3 linked regions of the Neodiprion lecontei genome follow. Each later gene encodes a partner of the first gene's protein in a complex. Links are inferred from orthologs where the notes say so. Each region holds a gene or a part of one and is shown on either strand. Other genes may lie near its edges.

What was found.
Region 2: the proteins of transportin-3 (region 1) and serine/arginine-rich splicing factor 1A are in contact, whole or in part, in a crystal structure (PDB 4C0O), measured with the Homo sapiens proteins. The link is inferred for Neodiprion lecontei from reciprocal best matches to the Homo sapiens genes TNPO3 and SRSF1. Residues at the interface, in NP_036602.1 of Homo sapiens: His155, Arg157, Arg160, Thr167, Tyr254, Ile256, Glu257, Glu304, Glu340, Ile341, Phe343, Asn344, Tyr347, Arg348, Glu351, His352, Lys355, Thr356, Arg620, Asn656, Glu660, Arg661, Arg664, Arg667, Phe668, Arg671, Ser698, Cys699, Tyr702, Ile706; in NP_008855.1 of Homo sapiens: Ser116, Arg117, Arg118, Ser133, Trp134, Gln135, Lys138, Asp139, Arg142, Glu143, Gly145, Asp146, Cys148, Tyr149, Ala150, Asp151, Val152, Tyr153, Arg154, Val172, Arg173, Asp176, Asn177, Arg181, His183, Tyr189, Ile190, Arg191, Arg198, Pro200.
Region 3: the proteins of transportin-3 (region 1) and cleavage and polyadenylation specificity factor subunit 6 are in contact, whole or in part, in a crystal structure (PDB 6GX9), measured with the Homo sapiens proteins. The link is inferred for Neodiprion lecontei from reciprocal best matches to the Homo sapiens genes TNPO3 and CPSF6. Residues at the interface, in NP_036602.1 of Homo sapiens: Arg620, Asn656, Arg657, Glu660, Arg661, Arg664, Arg667, Phe668, Arg671, Ser698, Cys699, Tyr702, Ile706, Asp709, Asp747, Asp750, Asp751, Arg754, Arg758, Gln761, Cys793, Arg797; in NP_008938.2 of Homo sapiens: Tyr521, Arg522, Glu523, Arg524, Ser525, Glu527, Arg528.

The regions. Positions count from the first base shown.
Region 1 is NC_060262.1:41,795,765-41,800,866, reverse strand, and holds the start of transportin-3, read right to left. Parts: upstream 3,052-5,102; 5' UTR 2,936-3,051; coding exon 2,819-2,935; intron 2,262-2,818; coding exon 2,058-2,261; intron 1,918-2,057; coding exon 1,760-1,917; intron 1,646-1,759; coding exon 1,573-1,645; intron 1,348-1,572; coding exon 1,210-1,347; intron 1,023-1,209; coding exon 802-1,022; intron 675-801; coding exon 530-674; intron 405-529; coding exon 258-404; intron 184-257; coding exon 1-183. Other genes in the region: serine/threonine-protein kinase 33-like, read left to right, coding at 3,485-3,688, 3,768-3,872, 3,984-4,119, 4,460-4,630, 4,819-4,977. UniProt on the Homo sapiens protein: Importin, which transports target proteins into the nucleus. Specifically mediates the nuclear import of splicing factor serine/arginine (SR) proteins, such as RBM4, SFRS1 and SFRS2, by recognizing phosphorylated SR domains.
Region 2 is NC_060262.1:33,701,813-33,708,997, reverse strand, and holds serine/arginine-rich splicing factor 1A, read left to right. Parts: upstream 1-1,752; 5' UTR 1,753-1,868; coding exon 1,869-2,038; intron 2,039-3,661; coding exon 3,662-4,055; intron 4,056-4,459; coding exon 4,460-4,651; 3' UTR 4,652-4,654; intron 4,655-5,668; 3' UTR 5,669-6,649; downstream 6,650-7,185. UniProt on the Homo sapiens protein: Plays a role in preventing exon skipping, ensuring the accuracy of splicing and regulating alternative splicing.
Region 3 is NC_060265.1:7,461,557-7,466,529, forward strand, and holds the start of cleavage and polyadenylation specificity factor subunit 6, read left to right. Parts: upstream 1-1,847; 5' UTR 1,848-1,940; coding exon 1,941-1,997; intron 1,998-2,233; coding exon 2,234-2,458; intron 2,459-3,656; coding exon 3,657-3,884; intron 3,885-4,123; coding exon 4,124-4,615; intron 4,616-4,722; coding exon 4,723-4,849; intron 4,850-4,923; coding exon 4,924-4,973. UniProt on the Homo sapiens protein: Component of the cleavage factor Im (CFIm) complex that functions as an activator of the pre-mRNA 3'-end cleavage and polyadenylation processing required for the maturation of pre-mRNA into functional mRNAs.

The sequences.
Region 1 (5,102 bases):
CGAGTCCCAAGTTGGAGTTTGCTGTTGGCCCTGCGGCCCGACAGCACCTGTTAAGGCCGTGAACATTTGACGAAAACAGTGACAGCTGCCCACAACAAATACTACATCCTTGATCAGTTCAGACACACGGCCTCGGAAATCGGCAAAGTCCTCACCGCCACCGCCTTCCTCGACAAGGCCCAACTGATGAAATTTTTTCGTTATTCACAACAGTCACGAAGAAATTTTGCGGTTCATGCACAAAAAGCGTTACTCACGTGGTCCGGTTCCATTTGGCAATGCCTACATAATGCTCCAACAAGTCGTTCAAAGTGGGGTCTAAAAGTGGTGTTAAGATCATCACTATTTCGTTGATAAAGATCTTCTGACAGTCTGTACCACAAGTTGAAAGTGATCTCTGCGACCTAGAAGAGATGAGCGTTTAGCTGAAACGTTATTCATCCGGCATATGCTTTGAGACATTTCATTAAGTGGTAGAAAAAGGTAAGAAACTTAGAAATGTCCGTAGTCGACCCTTTTATTATGTTACCTCGTAGTCGTGATGCCCTACACAGGTGAGCACAAGATCGAGTATCTTCACTGAATAATGTTGCTTGCCTCCTAGGCAACCGCTAACCATTGTGTCTAAAAAAGACTCAGCAAGTTCCGTGAAGATACGACAGTAATTCATGGATCTGTTGAAAATAGAGTATGCATAAAACTATCAGTAAATAACCAGTTCATTATGGTCGATAAATTGAAGGAGAAATGGTATGTATAGGTATCTCTCAAAAAAGAAATAGACAATAGAATTCGAAGTACTTCTCCATATCTTCATGAGCAACGGATAAGTGATAAGGCTGCTCAAGATTCATCACGCTAGTGAAGACACACAGTTGAAGCTGCTGCCGTTGCATTTCTATTTCACCGTTACTTTGGCTATGATTCAAGCAACCTTCGTCTTTCAATGACTGCAGTAAAACACAGACGCAATCTGTGGCTACTTCATGTAGCTGTGATCCTGTCATGTGGTTACCGAGTACCTGCACGAATGATCGAGCAAAATTTACAACAAACGAAAAGCTTTAAAATTCAACTAAACTTTTTATTCTACCTTCTGTTTGTATCACCAAATGAGAAATAACATAAGCATTCCAAGTGTAATTTGATATGTTGTTAATATAAAAATGAACTTTGCACACCTTTCAGTGACCACACAGTTTAGCTTACCTGGAAAGCGTATGCCACAACATCGCTGCTTCCGACAGCTTGAAGGGATATCGCATGAACTGCTACCCAGCTGGTAAAGCATCGAAGGATCCTGACCTGAATTTGTGCATTGTCACCACCGTTTTCTAAGCAAACTTTCTGCCAAGAAAAATATCAATTCATTAAATGTCCCACTACCAGAAGTGACTTTAGTTTCATAATTACAATTAATTGTTTCGAAATACAAGAAACAGATCTCAAATTCACAATCTCAAGCGCAAGTTTTTGAAGTTGTGCTAGCCAAAGTTGGGCATTGCTTGACTACCAAATGTTGGATCTATAAATAAACAACCGTAAAATAACAAAGAATAAGAAAATACTCACCAAGAACTCTGTAACCGTATCGGCACTAGCATTAAGGTCCATGATGATATGCTGACGCCGGTTAGCGCCTAATCTAAAGTTTCAAACAATGTATTCAATTACTTAGCGTTATCTCAACACCCACTTTTCAAGGTAGTTTGGAAAATACATACAATGTAATTTTTTGTGTTAAATATTAGCAACTCACTTGAGAGATCTGGAGTTGACTTCTTCTGGTAAAACTGTCATGACTTCTAAGAGTGGCCATAAGCTAGCTGTGGCTCCGCCAAACCTGTTGATTAGATCAACAACTGGCTTTTGCCATGAGCACATTTGCAGAGTGAGATCTGCGAGTGCTAAGCACAGCTAGAAGTAAAGAAAGTTTTAAAATACCGAGACAGTCAAGGAAAAAAATTCAAATTTCCAATTAAAAATAATTGGATATTATTTAAGGCAAAATATTTAAAATTTCATGTTCCTGTGTCAATTGTATAACTGATGCGCACCTGTGTAACGATGACGTTGCTGGTGTGCTCGTTTATTTGGGATATGTGATCCATCAAAGAGTCTCTCAATGAATTGTGAGCCTCTGCAGGCAGTTCGTGAAATGACAATTGTATCTTTGTACGCATGGTCTGCGCAGCAAAGTAACAAGATTCTACATCTCGTTTTTGCTGTAACATTTCGTCCGCTACTTTCCATGCGAACACCTGTAGAAACAAGATATCACGTTTTCCCACATGCTTCTCAGCTACAGATATGAAATGGAAGGGTATAATTTTTTTTCAAAGCCCTAATTCCCAACACTCTCAAATCTTCAAATTTAATTTTTTGTCGCAATAAACTGCATATTTTGACAGAAATTAAAAAAAAAACTTTAAATCCACTTGTCGGTTAATAAAGAAATTGCATATAAATTTCCTCTCGTTTTCCAAACATCAGACCAAGATCTAGGCATTTTGTTAGCATGACGAAGTTTGACATACAATTTAAACTTTAACATAATTATCAGCTTCTTCCAAATCAAGTATTAATTTTGTCTCTTTTTTTTTTGTAAGGAGGGCATGTGCCAGGATCAAAAAAAGTGGTCGACGTCCGAGAAAATTACAGGTTATGACGTGTGATGGTGCACGCGACTTTCTGACGTTCCGAATCGAAAATTGGGACTGTAGTGAGATTAGATATAATATGAGGGCCGAGGACTCCTTCCGGAACGAAAAATGCTCGTTAGGTATAAGATTTTCAACAAACTGAGGTTAATACTCACGGAACTTTGTAGCTCCCCCAACCATACCGAGGCCTTTTCCTTCTCGGCTGAGTTTGGGTTGTTGTAAAGGGAATACACAGCCTGATAGACAGTTTCCAAGGAAGGCGATGAATCCATACTTTAAAAAATAGTTTTCCCCTAAATAATCTCCATACATAAGAAAATCTCTGTCACAACAAATTCACAGGCGTTGTTGGACGACGATATCGGTCATGATCCGCGGCCTGTCCTGACTTCACTTCTTGTTTTTCGAAGAGTCTGCTGCAACGGTGCCGGTACATGCTGCACCACGCAACAACCTTCAGAGCCAGTGAAATTTTCTATTTCAATTTACAGATGGGGCTAGTTACCAGTCGGTTGGAAAAATTTCTCTCTCACCGACCAAGCCCGCGGTAAATTTAAATTCATCTTACGCCAAGTATGGTAGAAAGATTGAACACTATAATCACTGTTGTCAAATTATCAACAGCATAACTCTTTATTAACAACGATACACGGTTCATATAAATGCTTAGAAATAATCACGCATATTGATGTGTTGAGCCGACCGAAACGTTCAATCATCGGATGAGGGCAGTAATTTTTTATTTATTAATTTAGCGAAGGCTGTCACATTTTCAGTTTTGACATGACAGGCACAGGTTACGGGGTAAAAAGATCAAACTTATGTTTCAAAAACATTCATCGACGCACTCGACTAAATTGAAAGAGCGAGATTTGATACATAAAAGAATTACGGACCTCGCTGAATTGCAGAGAATCTACGAGTTTGGTGAGATTTTAGGGAAAGGAAGCTTCGGTACTGTCGTTAAAGCGAGTCACAAAGGGTCGGGGCTCAATTGGGCAGTTAAAATTATCAATAAGTCTCAAGTACGTTTAAATATTTATTACATAATAAGGATCATCGTTGCGTCAAGTTTCATGCAGAGCACTAAGTTATTTTCATTAGGCTGGCGCCTCGAGAATAATGCTCGTCGAACGGGAAATCCATATTCTCAAGTTGGTCTATCATCCGAACATAATCCTCCTCGACCGCGTTTTTGAATCGCCGAAGGTGAGAATAATTTTATAATTTACGTTCCAATCGGTTCAGTCATATTTACACAGTTTTACTAACATTTTTACTAGATATTATATAGTAATGAATGTGTTTTTTTGTTTATAGACAATTTATTTAATATTTGAGCTTTGCACGGGGTCGTTAGCAAAAACTTTCAAAGCGAAGAAACGCTTCGAAGAAAAGGAAACATTGACTGTTATTCGTAGCTTGGCTGGTGCCCTTTCCTACCTACACAAAAACGGTCAGTGAAATTACTGCAAGATAGGCTCATCGATATTTCACCCTTTATAACAGTATTATCCTTTAAAGCACTTATAATTGTAAACCGTGCTGTCAACGTGAATTTAAACCATTATTCCTATAAATTCCTGGAACACTCAAATAGCTTTCAGTTCCAATTCTTGAATGCTTCTATTTCAACGCTAGAGTCGATTCGAAACTAATTAACTAAGTATTCAAATATGGCAATTGATCACCACAGAGAAACATGCCTGTAGTTATAGGTAAATGATACATTAATTCGTTGAGGATCGATTACATTTTTTATCGTACTCTTATATTTTGAAAACATATCTGTACAGACATCGTTCACCGTGATCTGAAGTTGGAAAATATTCTGATCGCTGCGAACCCGCAAAATCCGGACGACGATTTACATATAAAAGTAACGGACTTTGGGCTTAGTGCGGTGCGGGGCGGTACGGGATACGAAACCATGCTGCATGATTGTTGCGGCACGCTTACTTACATGGGTAAATAAATTCTACTGAAAATATTATTAGACTTAGATATAAGTCTTATATAATATTATATAATATTACTCATTCGCTTATAATTACAATCGGTTCCAATATAAGATATTTGAATACAATATAGGTGTTTGAATTTATTTAATTTTGTTTAAAACCGGATTTTTATCACCAACGTCTTCTTCGCACAGCGCCAGAAATGATCTCCACTAAATCTTATAGCCAGCAGTGTGACGTTTGGTCCATGGGAATTATAATGTACGTCCTGCTCGTTGGGAAGTTTCCATTTTATTCTACGAACGATCAGCACCTCCATATGCTCGTTAAAACACAAGAGCTTGATCTTTCTGGTGCGTAGATATAATTCACGTACCGTGTACGGTACCTTTCAAACGAATTAAAGACTCTCGTGTTATATTTAGGTCGAACAATATAACACTAAAATATAATAAAATATATAAAGTATAAAAAAATA
Region 2 (7,185 bases), about 8.1 Mb from region 1:
CAAAAATAGTAATAAACTCTGTCTCACCACCTCGAGTAAATACTTTGTTCAGTTGGCAGGTTGAAATACAGTTTCGACTGCACATCGACAGTAACCAGTGGGGTGTCTGATACGTAATTACAATAGACACGTAAATTTTGGAGCTACTTGATCGACATGAGTGATTCAGAGTATAAATTTAGGGCTATGCACTCAGATGAAATATACTAAATCGCACAAACGAAAGAAGATGAGATTATGGAAACGAAAACAACGAATTTTGGAGAGTAAGGTGTAATTTGTGAGGTTTCGCACCTAATATACGAATTAATTTTAAATGAACCTCGGAGGTAGAACACGCGCGATTTTGACAGTGGCGTGAACGTCAAATACCGGCATGTCAATACCAGATGCCAGATCGCCAGCAGCAGAAGAGGCTCGGTTAATATAAGCGGGCGGGAGCGACGGCGAAGCGCGAGGAGAAGCGCGGGACGGGTATTGTTTTATCGATAAGAAAATATGTCGCAGGATCGGCACGCGATCGAGAATAACGAGTGATAGAATTGTAATTGGTAACGAATATATGTCATGTTTAATATTCGCGAATACGTAATGGGTGATATAGAGACCGCCAACGAAAGCCAAACTTGACAGTAAGATCATTGCCCCCCCGACCGTTTGAAACCGAAATATTTCGTAAAGTAGCTGTTAACATACCTTTTAAAAAGCTACACTCAGCTAGTTTATATTCTGGCAAACACTTGAGGCTCTTTCGATTACGTTTCACACAGTTTACCGCGGCAAACCGAATTTACTCCGCGATTTTTCCGCGCTCGAGCCAAACACCAAAAATCCCTTCACGGGTTGAAGATTGTACCTCAACGTATCTCGACCCTGATTGGTCGAGGTGTAGGGTCTTCTATCAGGGTCCTCTATCAACCCGGCATGCCTTGCGTCGTACAGCCCGCGCAAGAAGGGATACCGATGACGCATTCAAACGTTATTCAAACATTATTACACCCGCAGCGAGAAATATCACATCATTTCTTGTTATTGTTCAAATTGTTAGTTTTGCGGACTTATTTTTTCTTTATTCACCATTTTAAGTCGAATATACACCAGCAGCAGGGAATTTTGGCTTGTTCCAATTAATATTGTACGTAATGAAAACATAATGCAACATACGCCTCCAAGCCTAGCGATTATTGTGAAATTTAGTATATTGACGGTAAAATATTAGAGTTCATGAAAAGAAAATGGGATGGGATACGTTAACGAGGGATTCGTACGGTAACATGTGTAATCAAATATCTAAACTTACCTACTGTAATTTCTGGAAAAACGAAAATTTTTTTAAGACTCAATAGTGACTTCACAAATTTCAGGATCGGATATAAATAAACCGTCACGGTAACGTGCGTATCTTTGACAATCACCAGCTTGCTTTTATTTATATGTCCTTTTTCCGTTTATCAAAGCATAAGTGATTGATTTTTTTCTCCTGAATATATATGTACGGAGTGAAATGAAAACTACAAAAACATCGTACTTGCAACAATTGGTCACCGTCAAATCAACATCTGTAACTGAAATCAAAGCTCCCTCTCGGGTTTGTAGCATTGAAAATAAGTTGAAAAATCTTCAACCCATGAATAATGATTAATTTTTTGTTATTCACAAGAATCTTTCTCTTCTCAGTTTTAATTAAACCAATTCAAAAAGACTAGTCAAATCAATTAAAGTATCCGCTTCCGAACTGTGACCGGGCCACGCCATCTTGTTTGTTCCACTAAGAGTGAAGCAGCGGCCGTGAACAATTAAGGCGCAAATATCGTCACTGTTGCATTTGATGATTAACTAGACTCTGTTAGTTATTCCGTTTAATCAAGATGTCTCACGGTGGTAGGAACGAGTGTAGGATTTACGTGGGAAATTTACCACCAGATATTCGTACCAAAGACATTCAGGATCTTTTCTACAAATTTGGTAAAGTTACCTTTGTTGACTTGAAAAATCGTAGGGGGCCGCCATTCGCCTTCGTTGAGTTCGACGACCCAAGGTACGTATTTTTTTGCGTTTCTACCTGTTAGGTTAACATACGGGTGTTGGGCATACTTGTTTATCGCATATTATGCTCAGCGCGCTCTATTCCGCCCTTGTCGCTAATAATCATGCTCATCTCTAGGCCTATGCAACGTAACCTTGTACTTACATTGCGTGATCTATTTTTGATAGCAACCACAAATTTACCAACCATTTGAATTCATGAGCGAATTACGTCTATTAACACGTATCCGCATTTATGCACAAATACACGGCGATACTTTAAAGTTAAATTGTGCTTAATCGTTTTAGCGGATGAGAGTTCATGCATATTGCATAGCTTGCAGAAGTCACTGTGAAACTTGTTACACCGAGCGCACATTTGAATGGAAATTACATATGACTGTATTCAAACTTTACATCAATTAAAGCCCACAGTATCTAGGCACTGGCAGTCAGTGGATGTAAATGACGGCAAGATTGGCAGTCGAGAAATTTCACGGCTTTATAGCAAAATACTTTCGGGTATATTCCATCCTTGAGCGAGCAGGTGGCGCAGTGGCTAAGGCTCTGGAGCAGTGAACTGGCAAGCTTGGGTTTGAGACTTTGGGCCATAGAACTTTCTGTGTCTTATTTTTTGAAAGAAGTTCGACCTTCATCATACTTTTGCTACGGGCTTGATAAATTATTGTATTGCGTTGTCATCCGAAACCCCAACACACACTGGGTTATGATTTCGCTGCCAGTTTGTGGCTACCAACCATGCTGCTGTTATAGTTGTTATTCTGTATGTAAAAACTCAGGGTCTATTCCATCTATAAAGTGAATTACATATCACTCCAAATACGTAGTCTGCTAACCTCTCAGCCAAAAATTCTGGATGTGCGTCTGGTTACTTTATAGTGCAACAAGCCACACTGACCTAAAAAATACAAGTTTTGCAAGGTTACTGAATTATTAACTTTGCGCATCCTATAGTTTTTACAAGACAGCATAATTGGGAAATATCAAGGAATTTTACTGAACAGATCAAACATTATAAAAACTCGACAAAAAAATAAAAAATGAATAAATAAAATAAAAAAAAAAAAAAAACAAGAAAAATCAAAAAACTGCAGGTTTTGGTTCTCCGACTTGCAGTTTATCGAAACTCAAGACTGTTTCAGATATATTTTATGATACAAAACAGGTTCTACTCGGAATCAAGATTTGCATAGTTGATGAGGAGTAGTAAAACATGATTTTTTTAAAAAAAGATTGTAGATTTTTTAACAGTAAACCTTACTAGCTGTCATGTAAATCAGTCTTCAATTTCATTCAGTTGGACAGCATAAATAGCTAGGCAAAAGTTTTTTTCAAAGTTACTACAAATTTTGCAGAGTTTGGCGATTAGGAATTTCTAACAATCTGACTTCTTGACAGTGTCTTTTGTAGGCTCAAAGTATCTCCAATAGTTGACTAATCTTTTCGAAGATATTCAGTTCATATTGTAGAATGATAGTTTCATGTTGCAAACCAATTTCATATATGATGTGAACTAATTTTAAGTTACACAGCTTCAGTAAACTTCACCTGAAACATTTTGATCAAATGAATAAAAATAAACAAATAAGTAAAGATGTTTATATTGAAATTACAGGGATGCCGAAGATGCAGTACATGCTAGAGATGGTTATGACTATGATGGCTATAGGTTGAGAGTAGAATTTCCCAGGGGTGGGGGACCAAGTAACAACTTTCGCGGGGGACGTGGTGCAGGAGGTGGTGATAGTGGCGGTAGAGGTGGCAGAGGTGAAATGAGCAATTCTAGAGGCCGTGGTCCTCCGGCTCGTCGATCTCAGTATAGAGTATTGGTTACGGGGTTGCCATCCTCGGGAAGCTGGCAGGATCTCAAAGACCACATGCGCGAAGCAGGTGACGTTTGCTTTGCAGATGTCTACAAAGATGGGACTGGTGTCGTTGAGTTTCTACGTTACGAAGACATGAAGTATGCGGTCAAAAAATTAGATGACTCCAGGTTCAGATCGCATGAGGTACAACTTCTATGTTTATTTGTAATTATTTAGTGGAGTGCAATTAACTGAACTATCTTTTTCCATATCACAGACATATTTTCTCTTCTGTAAATGACAAACTAGACATTGAAAAAATGTAATTTTCTAAAACTGAAAATTCTAGCTTATCGATTTAAGTTAATTTTTAATGTACTGCAGGTAAAAATATTGCAGTAATTGAATTGGCCTAAAATTTTTTGAAGGATTGCACCTTATTTCATGACAATTACAATAAATTTTGTTTGCCTCAATATTAATACATGCCTTAGCCACAACAGTTTCTCACTACTTCAGCATTTTTCAAATATATTATTATTTAAACAATGATCGTAAATGTCTTATTTCTTGTGACTGTCACGTTAACTTTTTATCCCAATTCTCAGGGTGAAGTTGCATACATTCGTGTCAAAGAAGACCACAGCAGTGGAGATCGCGGCCGCAGTGAAGATCGAGAGAGAGGACGTACTCGTTCGAGGAGTTACAGTCCACGTCGTCGTGGTTCTCCTACCTATTCGCCATTGCGTCGCAACTACTCGCGGTCACGCTCACGCTCCAGGTCTCGCTCATACGATTAGTGTGTACGTATCAATACTATATAACCTCAGTGATAATATGAGTGATTTTTCAACCACTCATGCCTTGCCGAATTTCGTTTTCACTGCTTTGACTCACTAAAGACATTTATCTTGGCTGAATGAATTGTAAATTGTATTTTACAAACTGTATTCAGGTTGTCGTTGCATAATTGACAAGTATGTTGTTACCTGTGTAATACATACGATCACAGGTGCAGTGTAACATAAGATTTTTCACAGTCTTTGATAAACATGATTCTTTTTCCTAATAATTTTTCATCCCTTTCTTGATCACTTCAGAGGGAAATCTTGACAAGTTTTTGGCATCGAAAAATTGAAAGGAATTGAATACTATCATTATACTTGTTGTGAATTGCATCACTTTTTTTCTACAAGTTAAACCTAATCAGTTTTATTAATTGTCAATTGTGGTTGATGTTCTGATATTGAAATAGCTTTTCATGCATAATGTCTGTAAAGTTAACAGTGTTCGGTTTACTCAAATAAATTTGTACCAATTGAACTAGACAATTACAAAAGTTCAAGGAAAACATCTTTAACGGCCACATTTTTTTAAACATAATAGTGCTTTGATACAAGATATGAATCGTCACCGAAACCTATAGTGATTGCCGAAATTTTTGAATATACATCGTGAGTAATATTCGATATGTCGAATAATTCTGTACCACTATTGTTTTATCAAATCAATCTGCAATTTCTTGGAATATTACATAAAGTCTTCGTTCCATTTCTTGGTACCATAATATTAAAATGCGCACATGTGCATATTCTTTACTATGCCCATGTAAAGGAATAATGTTTGCAATCCCGATTAATTATCATTATCAGCTAGATCAGGGATAGGATTGTAGATCCGGAGCTGGCGTAAAATTCGCAATTCACAACAAATATGACGTGATATATCATTATCATCTACAAATACGGATCAACGCGTGATTTAATGTTTTATTTTTTGCCCATAAAAATTGTTTTAAGCCATAATTATTATTGCAGGATAACAGATCTTTGTCAGATGAGACCTCATGGTAGCCAAATATGAGAACAATGATTTGGTGATCATGAGCATTGCGAGACATTGCGCTGACAACCCCACTGCATCTTTTTACTCATAACATGCTGTACACCGCGTCATCTCCCACCTTATGTTTAATACGTTTATAACTTTTAATGAGAAAACTATCTGCAACAGACAAGTTTCAGTATTCATAAGTCTTAACACTTATGAAAATGGATTGTGAAAAACACTTTTTCAAAGCATATACGTGGCAAACCACAAAGTATAGTCATTTTAAAGCTTATGCAGAAAGTAAAACGTATTCTCCTGCATTATTAAAACCACCAATCCATTTCTATAAGTCTTTGATGGATAACTCAATCCTGTGCTTAAAAGATGTAAATGTGAAAAGATTTTCTAACTGCACACATATTTATAAGCTTTCGCTCTGAGTCGATAATGCAAAGAGGCTCTGAATATTATAAATATTTTTACCAATGGGAACATCTGAATATATTTACATGTATTACATATTATAAATGTTTAAGTAAAATATCCATTCCTTTGAGAATATTATCAATTGTATATACGAGTCATAGGTCAGAGTTGCATGCTCAAATTCAGCAATGTTCCTTACACAACTCGTCGCAAAACGATTTCACACCAATTATATGTTATCTGAATCTTGAAGCGATTCCTTCGATTGCAACAGAGGAATAGCCTATAACGTATTTTCATTGTATTTTAAAATATATTTAATTCTATTACAGAGTTAATATGTGTTCATAATTCGAAAGAAATACAAAGATTCATTCCTGTTGTCGTTACAATCGCTTAGGGATTGCAGAATACGCGTTTGGGGTTTAAAGTTTCGAATCTGATATCGATTATCTATTATTGTATCAAGAAACTAATGTATTTTTTCTTCTTTTGTATATTGGATTGGATTGTAACACAATGAATGAAAAACTGAGAAACTACACGATGTTACTTCTTGGATGGATATAATGCTTCGTTCATACTTGACGATGGGATGGGATGGAATGCATTTTGGATGGATTTGTATGGAGCATAAATTTAAGCGGATTAAAGATAAGTCGCAGTGAGGATAATCAGGATTAAGGATAAATTTGGACAAGAGGAAATTCAGGAACGCGATCCTCAAGCAAGGATATATTCGATTCGAGGATTATCGATTAGCTGGGATTGGATTCAAGCTGATACACATTGGCAAGTCCATTGAAAACTCCGTGAAATTGACGTGGTTTTTTTCGTGTTTCTTCCTTTTTTCTTCCTAAATTACAGTCTGTTCACGTCCATCCACAAACACTTCAGTGTAGAAATTTAATAATATTTTTAAACGTGGCTAAAACATCAAGAACATATACCATGTTTTAATGTATCAAGTTGAGATGATTTGTTCTTTAAAAATTCATATGCATATTCATTTCATTTAAGTTTTATTATTTTTTTTTTTTTTGTTTCAAGCTGAAAAATTTGTGAGTGGTAAATATCC
Region 3 (4,973 bases), on another chromosome or scaffold:
AAATATTGATCGATGATTACTCGGTAGTGCTGCGTTCTCTATCCTTTTTTAACGCGCCGCGAACATGGAAAGACGAGAGTGACAGAGTATACAGAGTCGGTACGTCAGTTGACGATGATGACACTACCAAATGCAGAAAAACTGACTCATCGTACTGACGTCGATAAATCGCTATTCAATTTTTCTGATATGCGGACCTTAGTGAAATATGTAGAGGAACCTGGGGCAAAGTGAACCATCGCGGAAAAATGGACCGCCGTTGAAATAGTCGAAAATCGGGCGAAAATAACCCGCTCGGGCAAAATGGACCTTTGATACAAGGTGTGTTCCGAAATTAGGTGGCAGCGCTAAGAACTCCCTAGGACAGAGGCAGAGCTAATTCCGAACTTGGTAGCGCAAAAGAGATAAAAGATTGCTGACATCGCTGGGAGATAATATCGGAACGCACCTGTAGTAGGAGACCAGACCGGATATAGAGCACCTTAGGAATATTTATAAAATTATATTTCAACCTTCAGTGTACAAAGTGTGAACACACAATGCTGAAACTTGATACCGAGATGTCCATCATCATAATCTTGCAATTGCTTTAATGAATTGTCAATTTGACCTGTTTCAATATGTGAAATAAAACCGATTTTTTTCAAATAATCTGCTAATCCTACCTTAACTTAGCGAGGTAAGCCTACCAAGGTTTTAGGACAAGAAGAAAAGACAAAATAAACGTAAATACGACATTTTTTCATGCGCTCCATTTTTCCCCGGATTTTAGGCAAATGACTACTCGTGGCCCAGTAAATTTCAATCAAATTGTTTTCTGCGTGAAAAATTAATAAAAAATCGTATATTGCAGACCTAGAAGGTATATTTCCTTAGGGGGTCCATTTTTCCCGGGCACTCTTGATAAAAATCGTGCGACTTAGTAACGCTGCATCGTGACAATCAGCTCAGCGTTGATATCCGGTAGAACTCCATTTCGAAATTACTGATTAAATTTTACTCGAGCTCAGGGTCGTAAGAAGCGAAACTTTAACCGATGGATTTTATTCGCTCAAACACCTTCGCGATGTCACTTCAACAATTATAGCACACGAAGATTCGACCGTTAAATTAACATTCAATTGTTTAGATGTTAGCGCCTCGGTTGTTTGTCGATTGTTTATGCTACGCGGCCACCACCGCCCCCCGCCAAAATCCGTTGGCAAAAAATTGATGATGAATAGCTACTAACTGTTTCAGAAAAAAATTCCTTTGAAATCTTCCGAAAAGTTTGTCGACCCGATTTATATGTTAAACTAATGATTAATGAATACAAATTTACACTCCAATTATTATGCCAATGGCGGAGAACTGCCAAACTGCGGAATTATACCAACTGATTTTTTCCTCAATTCCGTTGAGTTGCACTCGCGAAACGTCCGCAAATGCCGGTTTTACGTTCGGACCTCTATGATCCGAAGCCAACTTCTCATAGCTGCTAACGTCATACCGATCACCGATTATTGTCATCTCTTTTATAGAAATGATTTTGTCTTTGTACATGAATAATTAATGATTAAACGTATCTACTTGAAACATGCTCCTCTAATCGCTAAAACGTTCCTTTGATCGCCACAACTGATTAAAACGAACCGTTAAACTTTAATTTGCATCGTCGAGGCAAAGTATCGAACATACAATGTATAAACCGGAACATGAAATGCGATAAATCGAAAACGGAAACTGACGGAAACAACTGAATCTTCCGACATTCCCATATACATATACATGTGTTGCGCGGCTACTAGCGCCATCACTGAACGCCGTCAAGTCCAGATTCCGAAAAGCGGTACTACAGTCAGAGCGTCAGTAATGGCGGATAGTCGGCTATCTACAGTACGATAGTCGGAAAGTTGGCGTGGGTCCTGTGTCGGCCGAAGCCAGCGTCGGTGTTCTGTAAAATGGCTGACGGTGACATTGATTTGTACGCCGACGATCTCGAGCAAGATTTCGCACAGGTAAGTCGAATTGTCATCGAAATCCCTAGACGTCGTCCCCCGCGTAATTACTTTACCTAAATCTCAAAAACTCTGTATCCGGCCTAGTATTTGGCCCGGAGAATGTTCTATTCGCTTCCGGCGTCATGGTCCGGATAACGATCGTGTATTATTCGATATCTAAGCGCTATCAAATTATCTGTAGATTTACCCCGATTCACGTGTAAACTACTATGCATACTCATTTTACAAACCAGGACGAATTTGCTGGGGAAGGTGTTGACCTGTACGACGACGTGATCGCAGCACCTCCAGGTGGGAATAGTGGAGGGGCAAATTCTGGTGGCGGAGCAGGCGATGGCGATACAACCTCAACTAACGAGGAGACTAACGGTAGCGCTCCTTATCATCAATTGGGCAACAACATTCAGCCCAACCAAATTGGAAGACGCCACCAACTTTACGTGGGAAACTTGACCTGGGTAAAGCATAATTATGACAATTATTTGTTCGAGCCATTATTTGCTCATCTACGCTGATTGGAGTCTGAGTCTAATTCGTCGAGTTAGCTTTGCACGGTGATTCAATTGATCATGACAAATTGCTTCTTATCCTAAGGCTCAATACAAACTTCAATCAAGCTCCAGCTTTAGCTTACATTCAAGTTTGAAAGTTAGCATGCCAAAGTTTTTAGTGCTTTGCCAATTCGTGTTACACATCTGTTCTCATTATTTTTGTAGATTTTAAATAATTTCAATATATTTTAACATTGCCTGATTTATTAAAACATAAATTGTTTCAACTAATGGCTGCCTATAAGTTATGTGTTAGGTTGTTAATTCCAAAAATTTGTTGATTCTTTGAAAATTTCATTATTACACTAGTAATCGAATTCAGTATTAACAAAAAATTTATCAGATGCTTACTTCAATAGATCACTTAGCTCGCTCACAGAAGTGAACTGTGATTCTTCACAAACTTTTTATTTAAAACATCTGTTCTCGGTGTTTCATTACAGGTAACATATGAATCAATTGTTCACTATTATTACATTTTTTCTCGGTCCCCTCCCAATAAATGTCATGTACTGTAAAATGCTTTTCTGTTCTGTCAGAAACATACGTATACTTGATGTACTTACGGTATCCTTGTCTTATGAGGAAAACGTGATGATTAAATATTTTGCATAAGTTTTTAGAATCTCTGAAATAAATTAATAAGGCTTTAAAAAGACAAAAGCTTTAGTGATTTCTACACTCACATGGTTTTTATGTATCCATGTAAAATTTTTGAAGATGACTACGATACTCCCTCTGAGTCACTACACAGTTTTATTTATGAATTTCTTTTTAGGGAATGCTTTCTTATTCTGTACTTTAGTAACATACGCAATTGAAACACAGAGTGTGTTTGACATGAAGCACACTGATTCTCCATCATAAATTGTACTTTACATAATGCATGAATAAAAATAATTAATTCAAGTACTGGTAATAATATGCATAACAATGAAACACTCAAGTGTTTGGAATTTTTTGCCGCTTGATACTAATTAAAATAATCGAATTGTGTTTGGATAATGTTACAACGAAGCCATTCAAGGAGATTTTTCAACTGTCTTAGATAAAATTGACGAGGATCTGTATAAATATTAATTTATCGAATGATGTTATTTTCTAGTGGACGAGTGATCAGGATATAACTGATGCGGTTCAAAGTATCGGTGTTCCTGATTTTGTTGAAGTGAAATTTTTTGAAAATCGTGCTAACGGACAGTCAAAAGGCTTCTGTGTCATATCCCTCGGTTCTGAACAAAGTATGAGAATATGCATGGAACGGCTTCCTAAGAAAGAACTGCATGGACAGAGCCCAGTTGTGACATTTCCAACCAAGCAGGCACTTAATCAGGTAACACATTATTTTGATGATATTAAAAGTAACAGTAATTATTCCGGTCTTGGGAATTAAAAAATTTCAGATCACTAAGACAACAACCGTTATCGCCCTATCTGCACTGATATTTAAAACATCTTTGAATTCTTTCGGCAAGAAATTTGTGAAGATATATATGTTTGGAATTTTTGTGATTTTTTGATCGCAACACACGTTGAAATCTTCATGAGTTAAGTAACGGTATTTGTCCTTAGTTTGAGTCTCAATGTAAGACTCGACCAGCTCCAGCTCCTCAACAAAGTCAAAATCAACGCCCACACAATCCTCATCAGCATCAAACATCCTTACCTCCTCATCAACAACATCCCCAGCATTCACCACATCCCCAACATCCTCAACACCCGCAACAAAACCACGGCCCCAGAATGATGATGGGACCGCCGCAAGGCGTGCGGAATCAACGTATGCCTTTGCCTGGCATGGGACCTCCTGGGCCTGGAGGACCTGGACAACAGGGCCCTCCAAGAATGCACGGGCCACCCATGGGCCCTGGTGGGCCTCACCATCCTTTACCTGGTCATCCTAATCAGGGTCCACCACCACCAGGCTATCAGCAAGGTCCTTGGAACGGACCAAGACCCAATGGTCCACCCGGACCACCGCGAGGGCCTGGCGGACCTGGTGGCCCTCCACAGCAAGGACCACCAGGATCAGGACCTGGACCGCAACATCGGCCGCCCGGAATGGTACTTGCATGTACCTACTTAGACAAATCCTCGTGAACTTTCATTTTACACTGTCTCAATTTTACTTAACTTTCTACTTTATAAACCATAACTTTGTCAATGCACAGCAATTTCACGGCGGACCACCTGGACCTCCGGGACAAGGGCCGCCTCGTGGACCACCTGGTCATCCTGGAGGACCGCCTGGTGATCCTAGAGGAGCCCCACCTCGTCCAGACTGGAATAGACCTCCGGGTAAGTATTGATTTACATTGTTCTTTTCTCTTTCTGTCAATATACCTACTAAGGAGAGTATTCATTGTGCATAGGGATGCATCATGGACCTCAGGGACCACCAGGTTTCCCTCAACATCAACAC